2 linked regions of the Drosophila melanogaster genome follow. The protein of the gene in region 2 interacts with the protein of the main gene of each other region in a pairwise test. Each region holds a gene or a part of one and is shown on either strand. Other genes may lie near its edges.

The links.
Region 1: the proteins of Spn88Ea (region 2) and Agpat4 interact in a two-hybrid assay, tested with the Drosophila melanogaster proteins (one large-scale study listed by BioGRID).

What each region holds. Positions count from the first base shown.
Region 1 is NT_037436.4:16,376,705-16,384,794, reverse strand, and holds Agpat4 (1-Acylglycerol-3-phosphate O-acyltransferase 4), read left to right. Parts: upstream 1-3,224; 5' UTR 3,225-3,497; intron 3,498-3,613; exon of another isoform or gene 3,614-3,666; intron 3,667-4,152; exon of another isoform or gene 4,153-4,157; 5' UTR 4,158-4,158; coding exon 4,159-4,324; intron 4,325-4,559; coding exon 4,560-5,095; intron 5,096-5,167; coding exon 5,168-5,525; intron 5,526-5,585; coding exon 5,586-5,668; 3' UTR 5,669-5,821; downstream 5,822-8,090. Other genes in the region: Agpat3 (1-Acylglycerol-3-phosphate O-acyltransferase 3), read left to right, coding at 682-868, 929-1,464, 2,056-2,413, 2,638-2,723; roq (roquin), read left to right, coding at 7,558-7,719, 7,785-8,090.
Region 2 is NT_033777.3:15,200,708-15,209,509, forward strand, and holds Spn88Ea (serpin 88Ea), read right to left. Parts: upstream 5,741-8,802; 5' UTR 5,642-5,740; intron 3,844-5,641; exon of another isoform or gene 3,841-3,843; 5' UTR 3,830-3,840; coding exon 2,843-3,829; intron 2,783-2,842; coding exon 2,486-2,782; 3' UTR 2,362-2,485; downstream 1-2,361. Other genes in the region: CG42542 (uncharacterized protein), read left to right, coding at 1-518, 1,317-1,496, 1,559-1,738; Spn88Eb (serpin 88Eb), read right to left, coding at 6,055-6,354, 6,417-7,397; Mau2 sister chromatid cohesion factor, read left to right, coding at 8,593-8,802. UniProt on the Drosophila melanogaster protein: Serine protease inhibitor with activity toward trypsin. Negatively regulates the Toll signaling pathway and suppresses the expression of the antifungal peptide drosomycin.

The sequences.
Region 1 (8,090 bases), on a different chromosome or scaffold from region 2:
TAATTAGTTTAAAGTTTTAAAGTTGTCGTTTTTACTCATAATTAAAACGGTCGTAAAACTTTAGTACTTTTTTAAAACATCTCCATGTACAAAATGTAAAAAATGACACCTAACTGTCATCAATTTTTTGCTAAACTGTTTGCACACTTTGGTCCCCATAAACCCACTCATTCTAAAGATTATTGACTTTCGCGAGCTTCCACTGTGAAGTGCGAGTATCTGCCCCATAATGACTATCCGTCGGACAGGCGGACTTTGTCCACAGCGGCTGTAGCTATTTCCAACGGAGAAGTCATCGATTGGCCAAGGCTGATTAGATTCCTCCTCCGGCAGCGGCCTTAGCAAAAGCTATAGCCTATAGGGCTATGGGCTATAGCTCCCGCTGATATCTGGCGAATATCTCTGCCGTGCGGCGGTTGCCCCAGTCCATTGCCAGCTGGTGGTGCAGGTGGTTGCCTTCCCGGATTTCACGATTTCTTTTAACTTGGCCGCGTGCTTTTAATTGAAGAAAACGCAGCTCTTGTGTGAGTGCGGGACCTTGTGTAGTGGTCATAAACTAGGTGTTCCACCGTTGGGACCATAAAGTGCGGGTTTACGAGCACTACCGGGAGAACAACCTACAATTAAAGTAGTGATTACGTAAAGACAGCCGTTTTATTGGTTAAACATCGCTATTTGCAGATCAAAATGGGTTCCCTGGAGAAGCTGAAACAATTGAGACTGATACACCTGTGCATCGCGCTCACCTTCTTTACCAGCGGGCTGTGCATCAACTTTATCCAGCTGCTGATGCACGTCTTTATCAAGCCCATAGACAAGCGACTCTTCCGCAAGTTGATGTACTATGCCTGCTATTCGCTTTACTCCCGTGAGTATATCCTGACCAGTTCCGATTCGAAGTAGAAACATAATACCTCCAATCCCTTAGAACTTATCTTCGTGTCCGATTGGTATGCCGGCAGCAAGATGACTGTCTACATGGACAAGGAGGACTTCGAGAAGCATGCCGGCAAGGAACACGTCCTTCTGATCATGAACCATAAATACGAGATCGATTGGCTCAACGGCTGGATGATCTGCGAAAAGTTGGGCGTGCTGGGCAACTGCAAGGCCTATGCGAAGAAGGCAATCCGCTACGTGCCCATCATCGGCTGGGGCTGGTGGCTGGCCGAGTTCGTCTTCCTCAATCGAAACTTCGACCAGGACAAGACCATCATCACCGAACAGCTCAAGGTGGTCTTCTCCTATCCCGATCCCACCTGGCTTTTGCTCAACGCCGAGGGCACTCGCTTCACTCCCGCCAAGCACGAGGCATCCGTAAAATTCGCCCAGGAGAGGGGCATGACGGTGCTGAAGCACCATTTGATCCCGCGCACCAAGGGATTCACCGCCAGCTTGGCACCCATCCGCGGTCTCTGTCCGGTAATCTACGACATTAATCTAGCGTACAGGCCCACAGATAAGGTAATTATAACGGCAAACTTCAAGCACTTCATTTAAGTGCTTTAGTTATATAATACTGTATTTTATTGTGCCATACATTTAATGCAGAATTCTGCATGGCAAAGCTTCTCATGTATATTTTTGATAAGGCTAATCAGCCTGTTCGACAATACCTGTCTGATTGCTTTGGTCTAATCAAATTTCTTTTCGTTTAATCCGATTATTTTGCTCATTTACTTCACTGCCTCTTTTAAGAGTCACGATTTCTTAAGATCGATGCTCTTAAAGATACCGATTAGAATGAGCAAACATTTCAAGGTTAATCAAGTGGTAATTTTTATAACTTATTTTCCTTATTTTGGTTTATTTTCCTTACCTTTGACGTGTCATCAGTATTATTAGCACTTTAGCCAGCATAGCAACCTTAATTTTTTAACTGAGTAATTTGGCGTTCTAATGATAAGTGCATAGAATTTAGCAAATTGCAAATTTATTATGGTTTTAAATTAAACTCGCAGAAGTGAGTTATAAAAGATGCTTATAAAGATACTACAGTTTTAGCTACTAAAAGGCTATTTACCGGACTTAATTAACTTGCAATTGAACTTTCAGACCCCCGCCACAATGCTGAGTTTGCTGCATGGAAAGAGCGTGGAACCGCACCTGCTGATGAGGCGTATTCCACTGGAACAGGTTCCGGAGGATGAGAAGGAGGCGGCCGCCTGGCTGCAGAACCTGTTCGTGGAGAAGGACAAGATCATCGATAGCTTCCTGGAGACGGGCAGCTTCTTTAAGACGTCCGGCATAAAGGAGGTTCCGGCATATGTGAATAAACGCCGGCTGTGCTCACTCGTGAACTTTGTCTGCTGGGCGGTATTCTCTCTGTCCTGCATTTTCTACTACGTGATCACATCCCTGCTGGCGGCCAACTGGACGGCCTTTATCACCGCACTTTCCGTCCTGGGACTTTGTAAGTTTGGGGTTCGATCTTTAAGGAGGATGGCACTTTAGACGGCATTAGCCGTTCATTCTTTAAGTTTTAAGAACTTTTTGGAGTGTTAAATGCTAAAGTTCATATATAATGACGTCTGCATGGTTATAACAATAATATAAGCCGCGTTCTAATGTGTTCCTACTCCCTCCAAAACCTTAACTTTTGTAAATCTTATTAATATTCTTTTTTTCTTGTTACAGTTTACTGGCTCATGGGTCAGGCCATCAACAAGACGCAGATCAGCAAGGCATCTAATTATGGATCCTCCAAGTCGGTCGCAAAGTAACTTTCGAATTCGCATTTAGTTTCGATTGTCGTCGAACTCAATTATCTACAAATGACTTTGTAAAAGGCAGTCCTCTCACAAATCTCTCTGCTAAATGGATCAATTCGTGATTCCTATCCGGACGATTTAAAGTGTTTTGCATGTTTTTCTTGTCTAAGTTTATAGTTACGAAGTAACTCCCGCACACTGGAGCCATCAATTTGCGTACGTAGTTGGTAGTTGTACACCTAAGTGGAAATTTAATTGTTTGATCAATTGTATTTTGGCGAGCATTGCAATAATTAAATTAAACAGAACGTGAGAGCGTGAGTTTGTTGTTGTTGTTTTTTGATAAGGCGTAAGGTAAGCAGTGCGCTGATAAGGGCTGCTGATAAGTGTGGACATGCAAGCAGTGCACCTAAAGAGTGACCTTAACACAAAATACCAACAGTATTTCTAAACTGGATACTTGAAAATTACACACATACGTGTGTAAAATAAATGTAAAATTTCGAATACATTGTTTTTGAGATTCCCAGAAATGCTTTCAAAAGTTACCTTTTGAACAGGAAGGAAATGAGCAATAAGCAAAGCATATTATCCAAATATTTGTGTTTATCAGCATTCTTCCTACACGTTCGTTTCTTTATCAGTTGTAACGATCAGAAGCAGCACACGTTCCGTTAGTTCGACTGCTTGCCCTTGGCTATATGATCAATACAACCACACGCCAAGCATAAAATCGCCTTTATTCGCCGATAAGCAGTGTCGCCCATTCCAATTGACTGATAACAGGTGATTAAAAGTGTTAGTTGTGGGTTTCTGGGTTGTACTATCGACGAGATCCATATCACTAGGGGCTCGGGCCGCCTAGAAGAGTCACTTTCATTCAGTCGAATTCTACTGGTTGGTAGAACAAGTTGCAACTTCCTGGTCTCTAATTGTTAAGATTCCGCTTAGATAGGTGAGTGAGTGTGTGTGTAAATGAGAAAGTGGACTGTCGCAAAGTGAAACTGAAACGTGTTGAGTTCAAAAACTAGTTGTACTTATGGCATTGTCATTATCATTGCTTCTACCAAATTTGATAAAACAAAATGAGGATTGTACAGCTTAGTTCGATTTTCCTCGTCGAACTATGCAATAAAAAATATCTTAGTTAATTATGAAATGCGTTGTACTGTTTTCCCGATCCAACGATAAGAATTCAAATTACTAGTGTCTACTGTACCAATACCGTGTGTTGCGCGTGGGTGTGTGTGCGTTTACGGTACTATAATTTAAGCATTTCAATTTTCATGACACATTGGGAGCAAAGTTTGAGTACTGGCCATATAATAAAATGTCGATATCGCGCGCTGGACATATTTATGAACTGCATTGCAGACATGACTTTCGATTACGTAAACGTTTCTCCAACGGACTGAATTTATTGAGTTGCGTCTATTCTTAGCCTAGGATGTCGCATCTCCGGGGTTTGGGGCGACTGCTGATCGCCGTGACCTTCTTCACATGCGGATTCTTCGTCAACATTGGCCAGCTCCTGCTGATTCTCCTCGTGAGGCCCTTCGATAAGAAGCTATCCCGCAGTCTGGCCTACTACCTGCACTACTCCTTCTATTGCAGTAAGTAACCATCATATTAATATAGATTATCATATCATTATGAGTATAAACGTTTCACATTTCATTCACATTAAGTATAGTGTAGTTTTCAGCACACTTCCTGTTTTCCTGATTAGATTAGGTATATGCAAGGTCTTCTTTTGTATAAATCACTTAGTTTTTACATTTGATGATTAAATGAAATAACGTAAAAGTGGTACTTTTTGATAATTTAAAAACTATCCTCACACTTTAGTCCTTGTCTGTGTGGCGGAATGGTATGCGGGCAGCAAGCTGAGGGTGTACATCGATCCCCAGGACGAGCAGAAGTTCTTCGGCAAGGAGCATGGACTGCTCCTGATGAACCACACGTACGAGATCGACTGGCTGACCGCCTGGATGATCACCGACAAGCTGGGCAATCTGGGAGGCACCAAGGCGTATGCCAAGAAGATGCTGCGCTATGTTCCGGTCCTGGGATGGGTCTGGTGGATGGCCGAGTTCATCTTCCTTGACCGCAACTTCGAGAAGGACAAGGTGGTGATCAAGACGCAGCTGAAGGAGGTCTTCTCCTATCCGGATCCCGTGTGGCTACTGCTGAACGCGGAGGGCACCCGTTTCACACCCGCCAAACACGAGCTGTCAGTCAAGTTCGCCGAGGAGCGAGGTCTTCCCCTCCTCAAGCACCATCTGATTCCGCGCACTAAGGGATTCACGACCAGTCTGCCCACCATGCGTGGCATCTGTCCTGCCATCTACGACATCAATCTGGCCTTCAAGAAGAATGCCGAGGTGAGAACTTAAGATCTCATATATATGTATATATATTTTAAATTACATTTTCGAACTTGAATTAACTTACAGCCAAAGCCCACCATGCTGTCCCAGTTGAACGGAGAGCCCGTGGAACCGTACATGTACATTCGCCGAGTGCCACTGGACGTGGTTCCCGATGACGAGAAGGAGGCCGCCGCCTGGATGCAGGACTTCTTTGCGGAAAAGGACAAGATCATCGACAGCTTCCACGAGACCGGCAGCTTCTTTAAGAATTCCGGAGTCAAGGAGGTGCCCGAGAAAATCTACAAGCCGCGCCTGAGCACGCTCCTCAACTTCTTGGGCTGGGCCACCTTTGCCGTCCTGTGCATTCTGCACTACTTGGTCACCTCGCTGGTTGCCGGCAACTGGTTTGGCTTCATCACGGTTCTTTCCATTTTGGGAGGATGTAAGTTGAGAAATTCTAGTTTCGAGGATATGTGCTTAACTTTACAACTTGTACTTCCAGTCTATAGCCTCATGGAATACGCTGTGAATGCTTCGAAGATCAGCAAAGCCTCTGCGTATGGAGCAGCTGCTGCCAAGAAATAGATTTTCATACCTGAGTTTTATAAACTCTGCAACAGTTTTGGAATATACGACCTATGGACTAATAACTCAACTGCACTGACCATAGAAATATTATGTACATTGAATATGTACGATAAACCATTGTAGTTAACTGAATAAAATAACATTTTATGCGAAATTCACTTACAGGAACTAAATGATTCTTAGAGGCAAATATTTAATATGTGTTTGTACATCCAATCGAAAAAATTTCTCACAAATTCACTTACAAGAACTAAAAGTTTCTTTGAGGCAAATATTTAATGTGTTTGTACATTAAATCGAAAAGATTTCTCAGTCTTCTACCACTTATATAAACGTCGTAGTTACAAAGTTTAAACTTCTTGTACTTTTGTTTTTCTAATTAGAACATGTGTTGTATATTTTAGCCATTTATACAATAAATGCTATAAAATTAGGTTATCGAATTTCAAATATAGATAGTGATGTCCAAAACGATAACTGCTTATCGCAATCAGCTGAGAGCGCCTAGTGCGACCCTTCGTGTAAGCAGTGCAGCAAGACATTCAACGTTTTCAGCCAGCTGGATTCAGTATTCCGCCGCTCGTCACCTGCGGTCATACTGATTGCAACTTCCCAAATTTCTTACAATAATCCAATGAAAATTAAAAAACATATTTTCGTACCTTTAATGCAATAATATGTGCATTTTGAAGGTGAGTCAGTGCAGCACCAGTGCCAAAAATTGCATTAAACCAAGTTTGTGCGAAATCCACGAAGCAGAGTGAAAAGTGAAACGTAACGAAAAAAACGTTGAGAGAGATTTTCGTGTAGTTCATTGTTTTTCCTGGGGGATTACTTGGTTTCAAGGACCTTTCACTGGCCTGTGGCCCTACTTTTCGAAGGTGCCATTCCTTGGGTTGGCACAACCTATAGGATACTGCCCGAAATTCCCTTTGTTCGCGTCTCGAAAGAAAGCGGATGCTTGATGACGTTGAAAGCGAGTTACGTTTGTGTCCCCCATAAAGGCAGTTATGCGTGTGTGTGTGAGTGGCTCTCTCTCTCTGGGGTCTCAAAAGGAATATTAGCGATCCTTTGAGCACTTGAAGATCCGAAAAAGTTCTCCAGGAAGTGCAACTGGGGTATAAAAATATATAGTTGCTATATATACATACAGATATACTTGCATGCGTGTACAAATGCCCTCGCACACAAACAGCAGCAGACGAGTGTGCGTGTGTGTCTGTGTGGGGGGAGCACGCGAGTGTGTGCGTGTGGCGACAGCTGACGTTGGGGGTAAGGCAAGAAGAAGAAAAAGACGAAAGCGAAACTTTTTACTGTGCCACTTTTGATCGTTGTAAAAGGAAAATAAGACTATCTTGAGTCACGTCACTTTCATCGTTACATCAATTCGATAATAACGAGCATATTTTATGGGATATTAGATCTTTACACGATTTACCCTTTTATAGATCGATAATTTAAGTATTTATAGGTGGGCTCTATACAGATCTTATTGTGATAGATTCCATTAAGACTTATAGATGTAGGCTGCCACAAGTCTGTTTCAAATATTATACTTCATTCTCAGAAAAAACTAATGTTTTCCATAAAGTTAAATCTGATAAGGATATACATAAATTGAATTACCCATAGAGCATATGTGTGAACATTTGTAGCATGATTTCTTTACCCAAGATAAGAAACATTACTCATTCATGCTATGAAATTTTAAAGGCAGTATTACTTCCGCCATTCCTACAATATATATGAATAGAATATGTTTAACAAGCCTGATTCGGGTAATTTGTTCCGATTTCAATATCACCAAGATTCCATTAAAATAAGATTTTCCTTACCTTTTGGCTTATTTTATTTTAATTGGTATTTTTATGTAATTTACGCACAGCATGCCGATTCAGGCTCCCTCATGGACAGATTTTCTGAACTGTCCCATCTGCTGCAATGAATTCGCGGCCAGCCAGCGATGTCCGGTCAGTCTGGGCTGCGGGCACACCATCTGCAAGCTATGCCTGACGACCCTCTACAACCGGCAGTGTCCCTTCGATCAGGTGAGTTGAACTCCATTTAAGTATTGCGCCAACCCTAAACGATCTGCCCTAATCTCTTTTCTCAGACCGTGATTGTCAGTGACATCGACAATTTGCCCATCAACCATGCCTTGCTCCAGTTGGTCAAGGACTCGGAGCTCCTCGAGCTGGCACCACCACCGCCCAGTGTGCAGAAGCTGGAGCCGGAGCACCTTAAGTGTTACCAACTGGGTCAGCGGTGCATCGAGGAGCTGGCTTTGCACTTGAAGTCCTTCCTCAACCTGAACGGAAATGGCAATCTTCTAACTCGACCCATGTTACGGAAACTGGTTACTCTGGTCAACTGCCAGCTGATGGAGGAGGAGGGACGGGTGAGAGCGCTTCGAGCAGCC
Region 2 (8,802 bases):
AGTACGAGGACGCGGAGGGCAAGCGAAAGAATAGCAACTCGGACAAGGAGGATGCCAGCGAACAGGCGCTTATCCATGGCCGCAACTCCATTTCCACGGCGGCAGGTTCCACCACGGACATGCAGCATCGCCAGCGGAAACAGCGCAATCATCTCAATAACAATAATAGTAAGCAAAATAGCTGTGATAAAACTGGCAACGATGACGACGACCGGGATCAGCACGAATCGGAGGTGTTCCTCAAGGAGGGCGGCCGCATTGTCGAGCAGCTCAAGTTAAAGACCTTCCCCAGCAGCCCGGCCCACTCGGCGGCCTCATCGAACCAGACCGAACAAACCAACTCTATTGCCGCCTCCACCGCCACCGTAGATGTCCAGCTGGCTGGCCATCCCACCGACCCGTCCGTAGGTGGCGCCTCGGAGCCACGTGCTCCGCTGGCCGGACACGATAGCATGCACAGTCTCAATGGCAGCCTAAACGGAGAATCCGGACCGGTGAATGGCGCTCTCAAAGCACGGGTTAGGACATAGACCGTATTTGCGATTGTCCCGCTTCCGGTTCCCATTCGATTACGTTTTTCGAAATTGGAATTGATTGAATTTTTGGTTTTTGTATTAACGCTACACACTTAGATGGAGATTGTCGAATGGACTATGATCCCTAAAGTCATATCATTTAGATTAAAGAATGATTAATTAACTTCAAATCTCAAGACTTCCAAAGAGTTGTAGAGCTAAGCTAAATTTATCTGAGTGCTGTGAGAGGCTAAAAAAAGAGTAACCTATATTAATAGATTTAATCAGTTTTATTTCTAGAAATTGTAATCGGAATGAGAATCTATATAACTGACAACCGCTAACTTTCGTTGTTAGCTAATCATATATACGTTTCACTTGCTTTTTACCAAAAAAAAAAAACAAAAAACACTCATAAAACAGTGACACTACAGTCGAAAAACACAAGCATCAATTATTTTTTAACTCTAAGTCATCTGGCATTTGGTTTTGTCGCCTCGGTATTTTATTACCCATTAGTCTCGTTTAAATTACATTCGAAGCGCACACATCTCACCCGATTTTTCTCTCTGCATGTTGTTATGATGAAGTGATCGTTTCTTGATTTTTGATTTTAGTTTATATTTTTGGTTTATTAAGAAGGAAAAGCGGTGGTATCCGAGTTTTCTGGTTCAAAAGTATTTACATGTATTTTTAATTTGCTGTCTTATATCCTTTTGTTTGCGCACATTTTCATCGAATCTTTTTTGTCTGTCTGCTGTTCGCATACTGATCCTTAAAAATCCCCATCTTCCTTTACAGCTGGATCGTGATGTGAACGCGGCGCTGGTGAATGACGCCGAGAGCGGTCGTCGTCGTCCACAGAAACGGGGTGCCACCTACTTCACCATGCGCATCCTGGCCCAGGCCTTCACAATGACGTTCCTGGCCGAGTGGGGCGATCGCTCCCAACTGACCACCATTATTCTCGCCGCTAGCAAGGTGAGCACTTTGGATAAAAATAACCGGAATGATTTGGTACATGAAGCTATTATCCGTTGCAGGACGTTTACGGCGTTATCGCTGGCGGTATTATTGGCCACTGCATCTGCACCGGCCTGGCTGTGATTGGTGGTCGTCTCGTGGCTTCCAAAATCTCAGTGCGCACTGTCACCATTGTGGGTGGCATTGTGTTCATCGGATTCGCCATCTACGCTGTCGCCATACCTCCGGATGACATTTAGGCGAAGCCTTTATACTCCAATCGAGATTGCCCGCTGACGACCCCACAATATTATGAAGATTTAGTTTTAGTTACTACCTGATAAACCCCACTTTTCTTCGAGGAGCATCAGGCAAGGATCGTGTTGAACTAGTTTAAAACTAGAAATGCGTTGATGTTTTTAACGTAGCTTTCTTCTTGCCAAACATCCAAAACAAAAGTGCCTTCAGTGCTTTCCGCTTCGGCCATGACATACATTTTTAGTTCACACAATTAATTCTTTTGTTTTCCAATTGTCTAGTATCGCTTTAATTTGTTTGTTTAGTTTCGGTTTCGTGTTAAGTATTAAAGATGATTGTACATACGCGTGTAGAGCCATCGCGATGCCCACGCTCCTCTGAGTTGTATCCTTTCCTTCATAACGCAGATCCTTATTCGCATATTTGTTTACGTAGCCGTGTTTACTTAATGGAAACAACCAAAATGAAACTTTGTAGATTTGATTATTTATGCGAATTTTGTATGAAAAACTAATTAAATTGAGCAAAACAAAGATTTTAAAGTGCGCTTAATGGGCGGGATAAATCTTGTTCTTTCTTTTAAATTTAAGAACCTGTATGAGTGATGAATAAAATCATTAGGTTTCTTGTTATAGGCATAATTTATTATGGTTAAAGTTTGTTTTTAAAGTTTACATCGTGTTTTACAGTCGAAAAATAATTTGGTTAGATTACTTGCAAAGTTGCAGCACCTTAAAGCCCGCCATCTTTTACTGCTTTATTGTTTTGGGATCGCGATAGATGCCCGTAAATAGGATCGACCTGGAAGTGCGGTCGTAGATGACGAACAGGAACGGATGGTTGCACTCAAACTTGGCCGGCTCCACGGGCCTGGCCGAGCGGTAGGTGAAGAGGACTGTGGCCGCCGCCGCAGTGCTACCCTCCTCGTCCACCTTGATCTTGGCCACGTGCTTGGAGTCACCGATGGAAATCGTCTCGGAGGTCAGATCATCGAAGGTAGCGACAGACTCATCGAACATTTTGCTAACTCCCATTTTGGCAAGGATCTAAGGAATGGAGCAGGTCAAAACTAAATCAAGCTTTGGAATCAAAAAGTCTAAACTTACAGGATTAAGTTCCAGGCGCTGTTCAAACTCAAACTTGGGCAGCGAAACTTCGATTTCGCGGGGCATTGCCTGCTTCAACGAATCATCCAGACTGTCGGCATTCAACCGGGAGAGCACATCTTCGAGGGAATTACTGTTAAATGGCGGCAAGATGAGCACCATGGAGATGTCCGAGTTCTCATCCGGCGAGCTGTCCTCCTTCTCCTGAGACTCAAAGACGGTGCGATAGGGCAGCTGAAGCACGTGGGCGCGGAGCTGTTCGTCGACATTCAGTAAGAAGGTGCCCTTCTGTTGCATCATGGACACGAGAGAGTAGTTCGACGGAGACGTGTAGAAGGGCATGGGCACCGTCTTCTCCGTCTTGAACTGACTGAGCCACTGACCCTTCAGATAGGCGGCGTTGGCCAGGACCAAACGAGTGCGCGGAGTGATTTCATCGGCACTGAGCATATTGCGGATTTGATCGTGCGTCTGCTTGGCAATCCAATCGTTGATTTGCTTGCGCGACTCCTCCGTCTGGCTCTTGAAGTCGATCTGCTGCACCTCCTCGGCCAGACGATTCCTTGCGCATTCGGTCACATGCAGATCATTGGCGAAGAATATGCGATCGGCTGAGGAGAACTCGAGAGGCATTTTGCTCTGCCGCTCCTTACGGTTCATCTTCTCCAGAATATAGGCACTGCGCACCACCTCCTTCGAGTCGGCCCAATCCAGATGCAGCACCTTGGCCAACTCCTTCTCCGTGTCACCAGAGGATCCGAAATAGGCGAGGAGCAGGGCATGATACGTGCTGTACGGCGAGAAGAAGACGTTCTCATTGGGAGTGCTCTGCCGAATCACGTTCAGCATGGACACGGCAAAGTTCTGTTGGCCCTTATAGAGGTTCAGCCGCTGATCCAACAAACCCGCATCGGGCTCAACCCCACAGAGACCGGCTAAGGCGATGGCCGGCAGGACCGCCATTAGAGATATGCTGAGGATGTGCATGATGTGGAAGCCTGCTAAAAATTGGAACATGATTTAAGTTAAAATAGCAATTATTTTAACGGCTGCAAGCACATGTGATTGAAATGGGTAACCGAAAAGCACAAGACCCCTAAATATGTGACCTTGTATACCATTTTATTTTTGAGTGTGTGATTTGTGTGGAATACGTGACCGGCATTGAATCCTGGTATAATTTCTCATCTAATTTATTAGACAACTAAGCATTTAAAGCGCACTCAGGCCAGAAAAATTTATGAATCTCCCAGAAATATTGACAAAATTCCCCAAAGTGATTTCTGTGTAAAGTCACTACTAATTATGGGAGTAGTTAAATTAGAACTGCAAGTCCCAGCTAATTACGTACTTAATATTCACTTAGTTTGCCAAACTTCAAGTCATTAGGGTTTTCTAGTTACATAAACCGACTACTGCAGAATTGTTGTAAACAATCACGAAATATTTTATAGACTTAGCTTAGATGATTTGTGATTGAAACTTTTTAGAAAATATAGAACCGATTTGAGGTCGTTAAAGATCGCTTTAGGCTGATTCACCAAAAAGCTTTTTCCAGTCCATGGAGTGGTCAGCTATTTGCAGACGACAGTTGCAACATCTCCGCAGAGGCGACATTAAAAAAAAGTGAAAGTTTCCGCTGCTCTGCACTCGAAATTCGCAATCCGAACATAATGTATCCATACATCAGCCATTCCCACATGCATCCATCGGAGCATGAAGGAGCGCCCACAGATCGGATCGGATCGGGGATCGGTTTGGGAGCTTGAGCTTTGTGATGACCATAGCTCCAGTTTTGCTTTCAGCAGCTGAGCGATGACGAAGTCATCCGTTGCGTGACTGCAGTGAAAAGCGCTTTGTTGTGTGAAAATAAAAAACCCAAAATTAACATTTTCGATAACCGGTTGCGGATACCACCGGCAGTTACCAATATACATAGTATATGATTCATAAACGTATTTCAACGCGTATGAATGCTCATTGTTGACCCTGTATGGGCGATTTTGTAATTGCTTTCGGCTGGGTCTTTTATTTTTTTTTTTTTACCCCATAGACGTAACGCTGTTTCTGCGCATGCGCGTCGTTTTTTGTGCGTTTTGCTGGGTTTTTTTTGGGCGAATCCAAAAAATATTGAACAACCAGTTTTTTGACTGACAGGTGGAAATGGACATGTCAGCCAAAATTAAGCTGCATTGAACTTGGATTAATTGCTTTGTCAAAAACACAAGCACTTCCTTTGAAATTTCTTAGTAAATAAATATAAGTAGAATTCAAATTTCTTGGACAAATGCGATTTACTTTTTAATCATGTCATATGAGTGACTAAGGCAAAATTATTTATTTTTGCACAACAAAATTAAATAAATATTTTCATTCCGATTTCAGTGTTTTCCCCGTTTTATTTATAAACGCAGAGCTATGTGTCACTCAAAACAATATTTTTCTTTAAAGTCATCAAGTGAAAAACCTATTAAATTGGAGGTCATTATGGGATCGCACTTCAGAGATCAATCAAATCAAGGCTATAGTGGCAAAAAGTTATAAACAGCGAAAATACACTGGCCCATTTAAAATGCGTGCCTGATATATGTACATATGTATGTATATTCAAATCCCTATATGCGTAAACATATATCTACGTATGTATGTGTAATTGTGCAATCATTTGCATGCTGATTAGTGTTACAATAATAGACAACGCTTTAATTTCAACCCGATTCGTTCGCTTAATGATCGTCACAATTGCCGGGGAGTTGAACAAATTGGGACAGACACAACTGGATGATCACTGGGAAATACCTTCTTCGAGTAAACGTAGGCTTAAGTGGCACCGATATACAACTATTACTTGGAACGACTGCAAGTCCGTTCACCAGCGCGTCTAACTATAAACTGAGTCCGGTGCTCCAAAGTAGCTTGGTACTTAAAACCCAAAGCGCAGCTTGGATATCGATATCCGATGATTGTCACTCAGAAAGTCAAGATGTGGGTTGCTTCAACGGGTTTGCGTTTCGTGCAAAAGTTGTTACTTAAACTGCGATACAAATGTTGTGACTTGGATATGAGCTTTTGAGAGTTGTATGGAAATTTAAAAGTATTACCTTTCAATAAGCTAGCTTATATCGAAATTAATAAATGAAAATAACAGTTGGTGCATTATAGAGCATATTTTTCTTCAAGTTTTTCAAAAACACACAAGTCTTAAAACACTTCTAGTGCTGCATTTGCCTGGGATCGCTGTAGACGCCCGCAAAGAGAATCGTGTCTACCTTTTCATCATAGATAAGAAACACGAACGGGTGGTTGCAGTTGAATTTGGTGGGATCGGGCTGCCTGCTGGATCGGCTGACCAAGAGGATGGTGGCCGCTGCCGCAGTGCTGCCCACTTCGTCCACTTTGATCTTGGCCAGATGTTGGGCGTCATCGATGACAAGGGAAATGGGATCGGCAGTCAGGTCTCCAAAGGTGGCGTTTCTCGTGAACATTGTGTTCACTCCCATTAAGCTGAGGATCTGAAAAGGTAACAGCTTACGTGTTAGTGCGACTCAAGTGGTCCAGTTAGGTCATAGCTTACAGGGGTCAGTTCCAGGCGCTGCTCAAACTGGAACTTGGGCAGCGACAACTCGATCTTCTGCGGCAATGCCCGTTCGAACCATTTCTTAACGGAATCGGCATTTAGCCGGGATATGACACGGTTAAGACTGATTTTGTTGGAGTTCGGCAGAATGATAATCATGGAGATATCGGATTTGGACTCGGGGGTGGAAATGTGCGTCTCCTTCGACTTGTATATGGTGCGGTAGGGCAGCTTGATGATCTGCGATTGCAAGCCCTCATCGATGGTCATCTTGAAGGCGCCCGTCTTGTGCATCATGTAAACCATTTCCTGCTCACGCTCGTTAATGAAGAATGGCTTCAAGGCGGTCTCCTCCACCTTGAACTGGCTGAGCCACTGGCCCTTCATGTAGGCGGCGTTGGCCAGCACCAACATGGTGTGGGGTGTGATCTCCTCGGAGCTGAGCATGTCGCGGATCTGGTTGTGCGTCTTATCGGCTATCCAGTCGTTAATTTCCTTTAGGCCAGTCTCCGGATCATTCTTGAAATCCAATTCTTTGGTTGCCCCGTAGAGTAAAGTGTTGAATTTGTTGGAAACATTTATTGTCCTGTCGACGAAAATTCTGTTCGCAGACGAGAGCTCCATGGGACTTTGGCGCCAACGAAATTCGTCCTGCCTCTGTGCCAACGTGTACGAAACTAGGACCTGCTGTTTGTTTAATGCCCATCCCAGGTTCAGTGCCTGGGCCAGCTCACGTTCCGTCTGCTCGGAGGAACTGAAGTAGGCGAGGAGCAGGGCGTTGTAGGTGCTGAACGGCGAGAAGAACAGATTGCCGCTGGGATATATCTCTCGGATCTGTTTCATTAATGCTAAGGAGAAGTCTCGTTCTCCCTTGAAAATTTGTGAGAATTCATTTAGAAATGATAGCTCCGGCTTGTCCAAGGCAGCTATGGTTACTACGGGAAGGAGGGCCAACAGGACCAAACTGAAGGTGTGCATAGTTGGTACTGTCTAAAAATTTAAGGACATTCATTAAGTATGAACTATAAAGAATTTATGAACTAGAACTAATAAATAGTGAAGGATGTGATATTATTTCTCACAATGTGAATTTTTCCAAAGAAAAAACATGAATCATTAAATAATCTTGGCCTCATAACATTATAGTTTATTGTTCATATGTATGTATATTGTGGGATTTTGCCAGAGATAGTGTTGGAATCCTTAATCGACTTTGTGGCACATCCAAATTTTGTCGGACTATTAAAAATGAGCTTTTTACAATAGGATTTTAAATATAAACATTGACACGAGCCCAACTGAGACAAGTTTCTCAGAACCATTAAAAAAATCTCTTTCTTCACATTTCCTAGAATTCTGTATTTCTTGTATTCATCATAATTCTTATAACATATATATTTATATATATATATATATTATATAGTATATTTATACTGATAAGAAACTTTCATGTGCCGGAGTATGTGTTTAAATCGATTGCAAACATAAATTATTATGTATAGTCGTTATTGATACAAGCGTATGAAATATTTATTTTAAAAGAATCTTGGGTTTTACCTTAACGGAATTTTGCACAGAACTTAAATCAAAACGGAAACAATGGTGGTCCAACCGATTGCACTTACAATCACTGACTAATGCATGTGGCAATAAACGGCAGAGCTAGGCTTAAAAATAATGAGAATAATGCGATAAGCGGGCGAAATCGCAGCTGATCCTCGAATTTAAATTGATAACGTACTGTTCCGTCACTGAAATAAGACGGTTTTTCTAAACAGTGATTTAAAGTAAGAATTGGTTTCCTAATTGGAGTTCTGCTAAATTTACCATGTTTAAATAATATTATCTCATTTTTCTATATTTATTAAATTTATTTAGTTGATTACTGCAAAAAGAAATAATTTTTGATTCGTACAGAAATATATATTATCTACTCAGTTTTGTTTTTAAGCGATAGCTTTTTTCAAGTTTTATGTTCTGCTGAACGGGACCATTCGCGGTACTGAAAAAGAGTGACTGCCACTGTGACTGCTAAACGATAACCGCTAAAGCTTGGTTCACCACTAGAATTCCGCACTTGACAACACTGGCAGCCACCACCGTGATTGAATAGTCGCGAATTGACAACAAAATTACGCGATAAACAAACCGAATTTGGCACCCGCTCACCGAAATGAGTGCATCGACGAGCACGTCGACGGCGGCGTCCCAGGACGCCTGCTACATATCGCTCCTTGGCCTGGCGGAGTACTTCCGCACCTCGCAGCCGCCGAACATCAAGAAATGCATCCAGTGTCTTCAAGCCCTGTTCACATTTATGCCGCCCTCGAAGGTCGAGGCGCGGACACATTTGCAGATGGGCCAGATCCTGATGGCCTACACT